Linked DNA regions of Elephas maximus indicus. The protein of the gene in region 1 purifies or fractionates together with the protein of each later gene. This does not show direct contact. Links are inferred from orthologs where the notes say so. Each region holds a gene or a part of one and is shown in the gene's direction. Other genes may lie near its edges.

Region 1 (3,746 bases):
CCGTAGGCATTGGGGAACTGTGGTGACTCCTGAAAGCGGCTGAGGGGCCTGTGGTCAAACGTCCCTGAATCACTCAGGTGGCGAGAAAAGCCCCGGAGCTCCCCCAGAGTTTGTTTGCTTCCCACCCAGGATAAGTTTGAATAATAAAGTTCTGGGGTACTACTCCCGTTCTGCGCCACTTTTTTCTGAGGCCCCTGCTTTGAAAACAAAGCTGTCTTCTGTTTCTTGGTTGCTGGATTTCGGATCTTTCTGTGTAAGACTCCACAACACCTTGTAAAGCAATTTCCCCCTAAAGGTAAATTCTAAACCGTCTTCTTTCATTCCTTCATCAACTCAGCAGATAGATGTCTTTGAGGTCCTTTCCATCGGGCACTTGGTTCCCAGGGCCCAAGGGACCCTTGGCTTCAGCTAGAGTCCGAGGAGTCCCTGAGGTCCCCAAATCTCCACTTCTGAGAGTCCCCTCCTACCCCCTAGCTCTCGCCTCCGCACTCAGTCTCGGGACTCTCAGCTGGTGTGATCTCACCGATGAGAGACTAAAAACAGCACCCGGGTCGCCCGCGCCGGCCAAGGCCTCGGAGCGGGATCAGCGCGCGCGGGGCCTCGGCCTTACGTGCGTCCCCTCTCGGGGCCGGGTCCTCGGGTGCACCGCTAGCCCTTGGCGGGACGGCGCCAACTTGCTGCAAGCCCAGCCCTCTCCGGCCGGCAACTCCAACAGAGCTTCCCGAGTGTGGGTTCCGAGAGGGGACGCCAGGGCCGGCGCCCGGGCCTCCCGCCTGGGGTCCCTCTCGCCGCTCCTTTCCCACGACTTCCTCCCGGCGCCTGCCCGACTTCGGGTCGCGGCCGCGCGGACGCCCGCGCGCTCCAGCCGGGGCCGCGGCAGCCCGGGTCGCCCACGTGGGCTCGCTAGGCGCGGGGCGGGGGCAGGCTGGGCGCCCTCCCCGGAGCAAGGGGCGGGTAGGGCGCCCGGGGAGGAGGCGGTGGGGCGCGGAGGAGGAGGCGGAGAGCCCCAGCGGCGAGGGGGCGGTGACAGGGTTTGGAAAGGAGGCTGCACGCGGATTTGCATGAAACACAGACTGGGAGCGGGCGGGAGCGGGAGCGCGGCGCAGGCACCGGCCGGCCCAGCGAGCGCGCAGCGAGTACGGAGGAGGAGGGAAGCCGGGAGGCGAGGCCGCAGAGGCGGAGGGATCTGCGCATCAAAGCGAGCGAGGAGTGCAAAGTTTGGCTCGGGGGTTGGACTTTCCTTCCCGGAGGCGGCACCCAAACTGCTACCCCGTGCGGAAACCCAAACTTTTTTCTGCCACTCCGAGTCTCCCGGCCGCCGCCTCTGCCCCGCGTTCGGGGCCTGCTCAAACCGGTGCCGCTGTCGTCCGCCCGCCTCTCCTGCCGCCCTTCTCCCCGCCGTGGGAGCCGCTCGGGGCGCAGGGCCGCGCGCCGAGCCCCGCAGGCTGCAGCGCCGCGGCTCGGCCCGGCACACGGGAAAGTTCGCGGAGAGTTGAGGCGAAGTTTGGGCGGCCGCGGCCGGCCCCGGCAGAACTCCCTTCTGCGCCCCCGGCGTCCCGCCGCGTCCAGCCCCGCCGGGGGCGCCCCTGGCCGCCCGCGCGTCCCCACCCCCCAGCCATGTCGTCCATCCTGCCCTTCACCCCCCCGATCGTGAAGCGCCTGCTGGGCTGGAAGAAGGGCGAGCAGAACGGGCAGGAGGAGAAGTGGTGCGAGAAGGCGGTCAAGAGCTTGGTCAAGAAACTCAAGAAGACGGGGCAGCTGGACGAGCTGGAGAAGGCCATCACCACGCAGAACGTCAACACCAAGTGCATCACCATCCCCAGGTGGGGGCCCCGGGGCCCCGGGGGGCGCGCCGGGCCCAGCCCCTTGTTGCGCAGGGTCGGCTGGGTGCATTTGGAGAGGGTGTGTTTGTGTGTGTGTGTAAGGGGGGGGCTGGGGCGCCAGCAGGAAGGGGGTGAGGGGACCCCAAATAAAACCCTTTCTGGCTTTGCAAAAGATTCAGAGCCTGGGGCTTCCACGCGGCGCTCTCGCTTCCAGACTCCACACTCGCTCTCCATCTCCCGGAAAAGGGGGTGCCGCTGGAATTGGCCGCCCCCACCCCGGGGCGCTGCGGGCTGGAAGTTGAGGCCCGCTTTGTTCGGCTCGGCGGGCCGGAGCCCCTCCTCTGCCGCTGCCTCCCGCCCCCGCGGCCCGCGCTCGTGGAGGTGGTGGTGTGTCTCCCTTTCTTTTCTTCAGCCCTGTCCCCCCTCTCCTCCTCAGCAGGAATGCAGTCCGTACAGCCGGGGCTGTGGGTGAGGAGCAGGAGCTCGTGATTGACAGATTCCTTCTTCTTTCTCTGTTTGCCTTCGGGATTAGCATTTTTATCGAGTATTTTTAGACTCGGTTGTGCCAGTCTCCCGCCCCCTCCGCACGCAGACACGCACTTAGTTGCAGTGCGCTGTTCTGACTTTCCAGTAGGAGAGACCAGTGGCGGAGAGTAGGGTCGTCCTGCTCTCCCCGCCCTGCACCGCCCGGCCCCGCACTGATTTTGCCCTCCTTTTAGCCTAGCAGATTGCAGGTCGTTGCAGAACAGAGCCGGCTAGATAACAAAACGCACCCCAAAGTGGGCCTCGCAAGGCCCTCGCATTCCTGCAGAGCCCTCTTTCCCAAAGCGCTTTACCATCTGTCTGGACCTCCTTTATCCTCCGGATCGCGCTCGCTGTGTCGGGCGGGAGCTCACAGATGGCTGATAGAAGGGGTCACTGACTTCTCTCCACTTCCTGGACCCTCGATTAGCTTAGTTGCGCCTGGCAGGGAATTGGGGTGGGGGCGGCAGCTTGACCTCCCGTCTCTCCCTCCCAGCCCCCTTTGAAGTCTGATTCTGAGCAAGGGCCTGGGGAGTGTGTGTGTGTGCGTGTGTGTGTGTGTGTGTGTGTGTGTAGGGGTAGTGGGGCGTTGTGGGGAGCCCCAGGCTGCAGAGGAACGAGTTGAGGGCCCCAAGACCAGAGTCCCAGATGGATTGTCATCCTTGCGTCAAGGCCAGGGGTGGACTCCATCCTTGGCCACCTGCTTGGGGCAGCTGTGCGAGGGCTGCCAGCCGTGGCAGGCAGGCACAAAGCAACATCTGTCCACGGAATCCCAGAGCAGGCCTCCTCTGGAAATAAATGCCACATATGGTGGGAGCGCTGACTTAAAAAATAATTTTTTTTAAACTGGGTGGATCCAGTCAATAAAGGGGGGAGGGAAGGCGGTGTGCTGTCTGGGAAGTGTGTGCTGGGTGTGTGATCAGGAGCCAGAACTGACTTCAGAGGAGGTGGTGTGATGGGCTGGTCGGAGAGACCTGGTTCTGCTCCCAGCTCCGGTTCTGAATTCTTCTTTATTCCTGTGGTTGGGGGAGGGTGTCTTACTTCTCCTATCTGAGGACGGCTCTGCAAAACCTGCCTTCTCCTTACCTGTCCAGGGTGCCCTGAGAACACCTTCTCACAAGTTGAAGCAGAGAAAAGGTAGCAATTATAGCCGAGAAAGTGTTTTACAGTTTACAGAGCACTTTCACATGGTTTTATGAAGTACTTAAAAGAAAGCAACCAACCAACCCCTGGAAAATAAAGCAGTTATGCTGAAGATTATCTCATTTTTAAAGCTGAGAAAACTTTGGAGGAGAGAAGTGAAAAGGCTTGGCATAGAGGGCTTGGGATTCTCAGCAAACCTGGTACTCTTTCTGTTACTCTGTGCTGCTGTGTACTTGGAAGTTTCTGGATAAATCCTTT
Region 2 (3,746 bases), about 8.1 Mb from region 1:
CGTTCATAACTAGTAACAACCTTTGCCTTTGGTTGGTTTCTTGTTTGGAGTATCAGTTGAAACAGTTAATTCAATATTATCTGGATCGCCTCCTTCCTCTTCAATAGCCTACATTAGAAAGAGAAATTAATATGCTACACAATCTATCTAAACTTATTTTACAAAAACGCAATGAAAAAAAAATCAGCAAACCTCAAGCCTCAAGATGTTAGAATTGCCAGTCATTTCATAAACTGACTTCAAAAAAGAGCAATTAAACCACACGAAAAAGGTAAGAGAAGCTTGCGGGGCGGGGGGGCATTATTAGGTATCAAAATCACATGGAGTTTAAGGTTCTACCAATTTGAGAAAATTATATATCACATATTATCATACTCAACAAAAAAACCTAATATGCTCAATCGCAGAAAAGCTGCCAGCTGCTAAAGTAACTAAAAGGAGTTTTCCCAATATCTGCAACGCAAACTTATCCCTCCTCTACCACAATTCCAACGCTCTCTCAAATAAGCCAGAATGATTGTAATCAAGGATGAAAAAGGAGATTACTGCGAGGATGCAAAAACTGAAAACCCGATGGAAAACAAAACCTCTCCCCCCGCCCCATCAACTCCCACTACCGCCCCCCCCCCATGGGGAGGAAACGGTTGGGCACCATTAAACGGTAACTTCGCAGAAGTCACCAAAGTAACCATTCCCCCCGAGGCCCAGGGAAGCACGCGCTCACCATGGCTGAGGCTGGGGACCCAGCGCCGCCCGGCTCCGCACAACGCCCTTGGGAGGCCGCTCCGCCCGCCCGCCCGCAGCCCTGGCAGCCGGCACGGACGTCCCGGGGGAGCGGGGGCGCGCTCGGCGGCCGGGCGGGGAGGGGCGCCCGGCAGGCCTGCGCGCGCGGCCGGCGCCCGGGCCCGCTCCGCCCCGCGGACCGCGGCGGCCCAGAGACGCCAGGCGCGGCCTACGCTCCGCTTCCGGACCTGCTGGGCCTCACCTGCTTGAGTCGGGACACGAGCACCGTCTTGACGCCGGTGATGTCTAAATTCCGCCGCTTCAGCTCCGACTTGAGGTCGATGACCCGCAGGTCGGTGATCTTCTTCCCTTCCGCCTGATCCGAGGCGGCCGCGGCCGCCACAGCACCGGTAGCGGCAGCCATTTTAGGAGAGCGGCGCGCTGCCGAAGCAGCGAGTGGGCTGCAGGGCGGCGGCGGCAGCGCCAACTTGGGCTCGGGCCGCGGAGGCCGCTACGCACGGCGCTACGCACGGCGCTGCGCACAATGTGCCGCGGACCCCGCCCCCGCCGCCCAGCGCGACTTCCGCCGCCGTCGGCACCCGGATGACGGGCGCGCGTGCGCACTGAGGGGGCAGCGCCCGCGCGCTCCGCCGAACCCCCCTCGGCCACCTGGGCAGGGCGACCCCTGAAGTGGGCTGGGACGTCAGGCAGGTCCAACCGCAGCAACGTCCGCCGCGCCGCGGATCTCCCGCGGCCTCGTTAGCCATTTTCTAGCAACGTCTAGAGTCTTGAGCAATGAGAATGTGCTAGGCACGACGTGGCATAGAGTTCGCGAGTTACTAAACACAACCCTAAAAGACCTGCGCACGCCCCGAGCCTCACCCAGGGAGATACTTTGTATCTCTGCTGAGTGATCGAAAATGTGGTCAGTGTGGACAGGCCACTAATGCACTGGGTTCCTTCCTTTTCAAAACGCCTGAAAGAAACCCTAGAGCTGGTAGTCCAAGAATGTAAAGGGTCGGCCCATGTGACATGTCCCAGTGGCTCTCTCTCGGGAAAACATCATGCCTTCAGCCTTAGTTTATTCCAGGGCTCCCCCCACCCCCAGCCCCACCCCCACCTCAGCTTTGGCTTGGTTTGCCATCCTCGGGGAGGATCTAATGGCTCAACACGAAATAGTTCACTGAATGAGGAAATTAGTTTGATACTGGTTGCCATCTCGTATGCAGTGTTCACTGTTCTGCCCCTAAAATATGGGATTCCAAGAAGAGTGACTACTTATGGAGGACCGGCCTGTACAAGTGAGTACCTATTCATAATTTTAGCCAATACTACTAATCATCAAAGCATAAACATTTATGGAATAAAAGCTATCCTGTAAATTCCATAAATCAAGCATGACATGACACGCAGTTAAATGTGCTAGCATTTCCTGGCTTTAAAATTTAGATTGACGAAGCCTGGTTCACTTTAGCTTGCTCTTCTCTCTTTGATTAGATCAAGGAGGAAGATTGGAAATTGTAAACTAATACTTGACATTTGGGTAGTTCTTTATGGTTTATAATACACTTTGATATTCAATAAGCCTCTTAATCTGTCCTAACTCTGTGAGGTAAATCTCTGCGAGGCTTAACGTGATTAAATGACTTGTCCACGTTCACACAGATCAAATCCAGGTCTCCTGATTGTAAATCCAACTCTTGTCTACCACATTGGTTTCCACTCAGAATTTTAGAATTCAAAGACTTTTTAGTAATCTGAGCCAGTTCTCTCATTTTTTTAAATAGATGAACGTTCTAAGAGGTTTACCTAGATGCTCACAGGTAGGAAATCCTGGTGGTGTAGTGGTTAAGTGGTACAGCAGGTAACCAAAAGGTCAGTTCGAATCAGCCAGGTGCTCCTTGGAAATTCTACTGGGCAGATCTCCCGTGTCCTGTAGGGTTGCGATGAGTCGGAATCAACTCGATGGCAGTGAGTTTGGGTTTTGGGTTTTGGTCTCACAGGTAATTATTGAGCAAATTAACACTAAAGCTCAGATCTCCTTGTTTCAGTGTCTTTTCCACTCAACTCTCCTCCTCCCACTTTCTGTGGATGCTTGCTTGGAAAGAGGGCTTTTACTAACCAAAAGCTCACAGGATATTTAAAGGGAATTAGTTTTTCTTCTGTTGGCCTTTTTTTTTTTTTTTACTTAAAATCTAGTAATAGAGTTATCTAAAATGGAGGTACATGCTGCCTGCTGTGATGCACTTGAGAAGGACACATCACCTATGTCGTATTCATGTGTAACCTGAATCTGATCATGAAAAAAACATGCAGGCAAATTCAATTGTAGGACATTCTACAAATTAACTGGTCTAGACTCTTCAAAATAGCAACATCATGGAAAAAAAAGTTGTGGAACTGTTCCAGAATAAAGATGACTGAAGAGACATGACAACCAAATATCATACTTGATTACTGTTTAGATTCTGGATCAGAGAACATAAAAATGTAAGAACATTTTTGAATCAATGGGAACTTTGACTATACATTAGATTGTGTTGTTATATCAGTGTTAAAGATCCAGAGTATGATATCTTGGTTATGTAGAATGTCCTAGGTCTTAGGGGTGAAGTATCATTCTGTCTGCAATTTACTTTCAAATGGTTGAGAGAAAGAAAGCAAATGTGGCAATATTTTACCATTTGTGAAAGTAAATATAACAAGATATTAATCAAAAACAAATGTGGCAAAATGTTAACAATTAGGGAATCTTGCCAGTTGCCTGCCTTGGAAGTCAGTTCTGACTCATGGCAGCTCCATGTGTATCAGAGTAGAACTGGACTCCATTGGGTTTTCAGTGGCTGCTTTTTTGGAAGTAGATCATCAAGCCTTATTTCCAAGGTGCCTCTGAGTGGACTTGAACCTCCAACCTTTCGGTTAACAGCTGAGTGCATGAAGGGTATAAGGTTGTTCGTTGCATACTATTTAAACTTTTTTACAGGTTTAAAATTATTCCAAAAATACCTCATACATAGATCTAT
Region 3 (3,746 bases), on another chromosome or scaffold:
AACCTGGCAAAGAAAGACCCCGTTGTAACATTTCTGAGCAAAAAAACCATGGGGCTTGCTGCCACGACGCCAAAAGTCTGCTTTTTTTGAACTGAAAACTCAGAAAAGCTGGGCGGCAACCCTGCCCAGCACTGCCCCAGGAGGGAAAGAGAGCGGGAGACTTAGATTACTGCATCTAGAGGCAGGAAATGTAATGCAGGGTTGGTACTCTGCAACCGAAATCCCTTTTCGGCACTGCCTCCCAAAGCCAGCCACTCCCCCATCTAGGAGTAGGCGCACAGTCCCCAGACTCGGGCTCAGCCTCCACCCAGGTCCTTTCTCTTTCCCCCGCAGCTGCACACAGACGAGCACGTGAGCTCTGGAGCCTGTCCCAGCTGTGCCCAGATGACCGCCGCCTGATTGGCTAAGAGCGACGTGGGCTGGGGTGGGGACTGGCCGCCTGCTCCGCTTGCCATTGGTTCGCGAGGAACCCGCCTCCCCCTCAGGTGAGGCGGGCCTGCAAGAGCGCGCGGCGGGCTCCGCGGGCGGGCGCGCTCCCGCCGCCCCGCCCCTCCCCGCGAGCCCGAGCGCGCCTCCGCCCTTGTCCGCCCCCTGCCGCTGCCCCTGCGCCTCAGAGCACAGAGCCGTCTGGTCTGAGGGAAGGCGAGGATCGCCCTCGCCGCCTGTTCGGCCAGTGCATTGGGCCCGGCCCCGACAAGCAACCCGCGGAGGGGCTCTTCCGAGCCAGCCTTGGACCTTCGCGGTTGCCGCCTCCTCCTCCCGCCTCTGGATTTGGGAGGGAATTCCCGCCTCGCAGCCCCCGCCTCTGGACCTGCCTCTTGTCTCTCCGCGTGTGGAGGGCGCCAGTGCTTAGGCCGGAGCGAGCCTGGGGGCCGCCGGCCGCGAAGGCATCGCGGGGACCCATTCGCCATGGAGGGCGCCGGCGGCGCGAACGACAAGAAAAAGTAAGCCCGTTCCCTCCGCCGGCCCCGTTCTCTACCGGCGCCCCCGCCCCGCGCTCGCGGGCGGGCCTCAGCTTTCCTGGGGGGCCGGCCTTTTTGTTTCTGCCTGTTCTCCCCCTCCCCTCTTTCCCCCACCTCGCCGGTCGGCTCCCCCGCTGTCCACGTCGCCATCTTGTCGTGGGGGGTGGAAGACACATCGAAAGTGCTTTCAGGGGCCGGGGTCTGAGCCCTGCCTGCGCGGCCTCCGTCCCTGTCGGCCGGGGCCTGCGGCGTCGCCTTCCTACCCGCCTCAGGCACCCCGCTGGCGTTCTGTCCCTGCTGGGACAGACTGTGCCCAGTCTGAAAACCCCGGGAAGAGAAATAAACCGCAGGTCGGTCGCCGCCGTTTGCACCCGGAGCTTCCGCTCCTTCCCGCCCCCCTCCTCTCGGCTTCCATTGAAAACTCGGCCCCGGGGCGGGCCCTGCACGCTGGTCCTGACTTCCCAGGGGGCTCGGGCCCGGGGCTTTCCGACGTAGGGGCTAGGGTAGGTGGAATGTGATCTTGCCCCGCACTAGTCCGGACGCCAGGGGTGTCTTTGCCTTTGTGCATTAGGGATTTGCCGCCACGGCCTTAAAATACTAACTTTTTAGTTTTGCACGTGCAGGTTTTGTTTTAATCGCCTGGAAAAACTTGCCTAGACGGAGAGTCGGAGCCACGGGAATTCAAAGAAATAACGTTTTAAAAAGGACACCAGGATTAAATACTGTGTTCCTATCACTTGTCACGAGAGCCCGACGTTCGAAATGAATATATGCCTCATTCATTCTTGAAAATATGGTAGTTGAAAATGTAGCGGCTAGTTAAATTTAGAGGAACAGTTTTATGGGGATTGAAAATAAAAATGTGACCAGAGCAAATGAAATGCAGCACTGAAATGTTGCGAATTTTTCCAAACCCTGCCTCATGGTCCTGAAATTGAAGTATATTAAAGGAGAACCTTCAAATACATCATAAGTAAATAATCATACTATTATAACTTACTGCAAGTTTATAAAACACCACTTGAAGTTTGAGTCCAAGGGGTACATTATAGAAGGATTAATTGCGACGGGGATGAACCAGCGGAATTAAAAGTGATCCCAGGCCCCTCCCCCCCAATTTGGTCCACTTTGGTATTGTAACCTTTGAGGAAATCATTTTAAGGAATTGAAGATTCAGAGTTTGTGGATAGTGGCCTGGATTTACGGTTAAGTCCTTCCAATGCTCTGGGAGAGATTAATTTTTCTAATCAGTATCAACGGAAGATAAACTTGTTTATATTCTTGTTATTTTGTCGATATCGTATCTTGGTCTTATTTAAATAGAAATGTTAGCCTTTCAATTTGCATATACCAGAGAAAGCACTCATAAAATTCAAGAAGTGGGCAAACAGAACAGGCCTAGACTTAATTCCAAGAATTGCCAGGAATTAATTGCAGTTAATTTTGCATAAGTGATTACCATGCTTTTGATGAAATGGTGAGGCTGCTACATTGTAAACCTAAGGCAGATTACCTCTGGGTAGTGCCAACTTTTTGTCCTTATTACACTTTGAATCCTACTTAATAAAATGTATTAAGTTATGCACCAGTCACTTCCTTTTTGTATGGTATATTATACTCATTTTTTTTTTGCAGTTGATCAGTTGAGAATATTATAAGCAACTTTAACATGAATTAGCTCCTGTGCATCACCTCCAATTTTAAAGGAACTCTTAGATTTTCCTCTTTCCCATCTGTCATTTAAAATTAAAAAATATATATCATTTTGAGCCTTAGATTGGTTAATCAATCAGATTTAACAACCTTGGATCAGATTGATTCATATTTCTCTATATAAACAAAAAACGCATTGGCCATCTCATAGCGACCCTATACAAGAGTAGAACTGCCCCATAGGGTTCTTAATGTAATTGAAAAATTAAGTTGAACATTTAAGTGGTAGCAACTGAGCAACTTTTGTTGTTATTGTTATTAGTTGAAGTCGAGTCAATTCTGATTCATGGTGTACAACTGCTCCAGGGTTTTCAAGGCTGTGACCTTTCAGAAGCAGATCTAAGCCAGACCTGCCTGTCTTCCAGTACACCTCTGGGTGTGTTCAGACCTCCAACCTGTGAGCTGATAACCCATTGCTGTGAAGTTGATTCCGACTAATGGCGACCCTATACGAGAGTAGGACTGCCCCATAGGGTTTCCAAGACTGTAAATCTTTATGGGAGCCACATCTTCCATGGAGCAGCTGGTGGATTCGAACTGCTGAGCTTTCAGTTAGCAGCCAAGCACTTAACCATTGTACCACCAGGGCTCTTTTTTGGGCTAGTAGTTGAATGCTTAATGGTTTGGCCACCCAGGGATTCCTTTTAAACCAAAAAAAAAAAAAAAAAAAAAAAACCCATTGCCATGGAGTCAATTCCAACCCTATAGGACAGTAGAACTGCCCCATAGGATTTCCAAAGAGCAGCTGGTGGATTTGAACTGCCAAACTTTTAACCACTGCACCACCGGGGGTCTTTTGAGATGTTGGTAAAAGATGCCTTTTTTAATTCTTTTCTAACTAACAATTTTAGAACTTAAAGATAATTGAGGGATTGAGGGCCAGGAATTTCCCATATATGTATTGGGAGTGAGATAAGGGGAATAGTCTAGGATTCCATGCGATTTTTCCATTTTAAATGAGTATCCAGAGTTGGAGTGGGGAAATTTATCTTTTTTAAAGCAGTATTGGTTTAGGGAGGAAAAAAAATTTGAAGGATTGGAAGAAATCAGAACAGAGTGGATATGGTTATA

What was found.
Region 2: the proteins of SMAD3 (region 1) and RNF111 purify together in Homo sapiens (affinity purification with western blotting; 5 studies listed by BioGRID). This does not show direct contact. The link is inferred for Elephas maximus indicus from reciprocal best matches to the Homo sapiens genes SMAD3 and RNF111.
Region 3: the proteins of SMAD3 (region 1) and HIF1A purify together in Homo sapiens (affinity purification with western blotting; 4 studies listed by BioGRID and IntAct, with this or other methods). This does not show direct contact. The link is inferred for Elephas maximus indicus from reciprocal best matches to the Homo sapiens genes SMAD3 and HIF1A.

Annotation. Positions count from the first base shown.
Region 1 is NC_064831.1:57,139,091-57,142,836, forward strand, and holds the start of SMAD3 (mothers against decapentaplegic homolog 3), read left to right. Parts: upstream 1-1,099; 5' UTR 1,100-1,617; coding exon 1,618-1,823; intron 1,824-3,746. UniProt on the Homo sapiens protein: Receptor-regulated SMAD (R-SMAD) that is an intracellular signal transducer and transcriptional modulator activated by TGF-beta (transforming growth factor) and activin type 1 receptor kinases.
Region 2 is NC_064831.1:49,069,243-49,072,988, forward strand, and holds the start of RNF111 (E3 ubiquitin-protein ligase Arkadia), read left to right. Parts: upstream 1-1,263; 5' UTR 1,264-2,024; intron 2,025-3,746. Other genes in the region: SLTM (SAFB-like transcription modulator), read right to left, coding at 21-108, 986-1,147. UniProt on the Homo sapiens protein: E3 ubiquitin-protein ligase. Required for mesoderm patterning during embryonic development. Acts as an enhancer of the transcriptional responses of the SMAD2/SMAD3 effectors, which are activated downstream of BMP.
Region 3 is NC_064828.1:74,099,568-74,103,313, forward strand, and holds the start of HIF1A (hypoxia-inducible factor 1-alpha), read left to right. Parts: upstream 1-860; 5' UTR 861-909; coding exon 910-944; intron 945-3,746.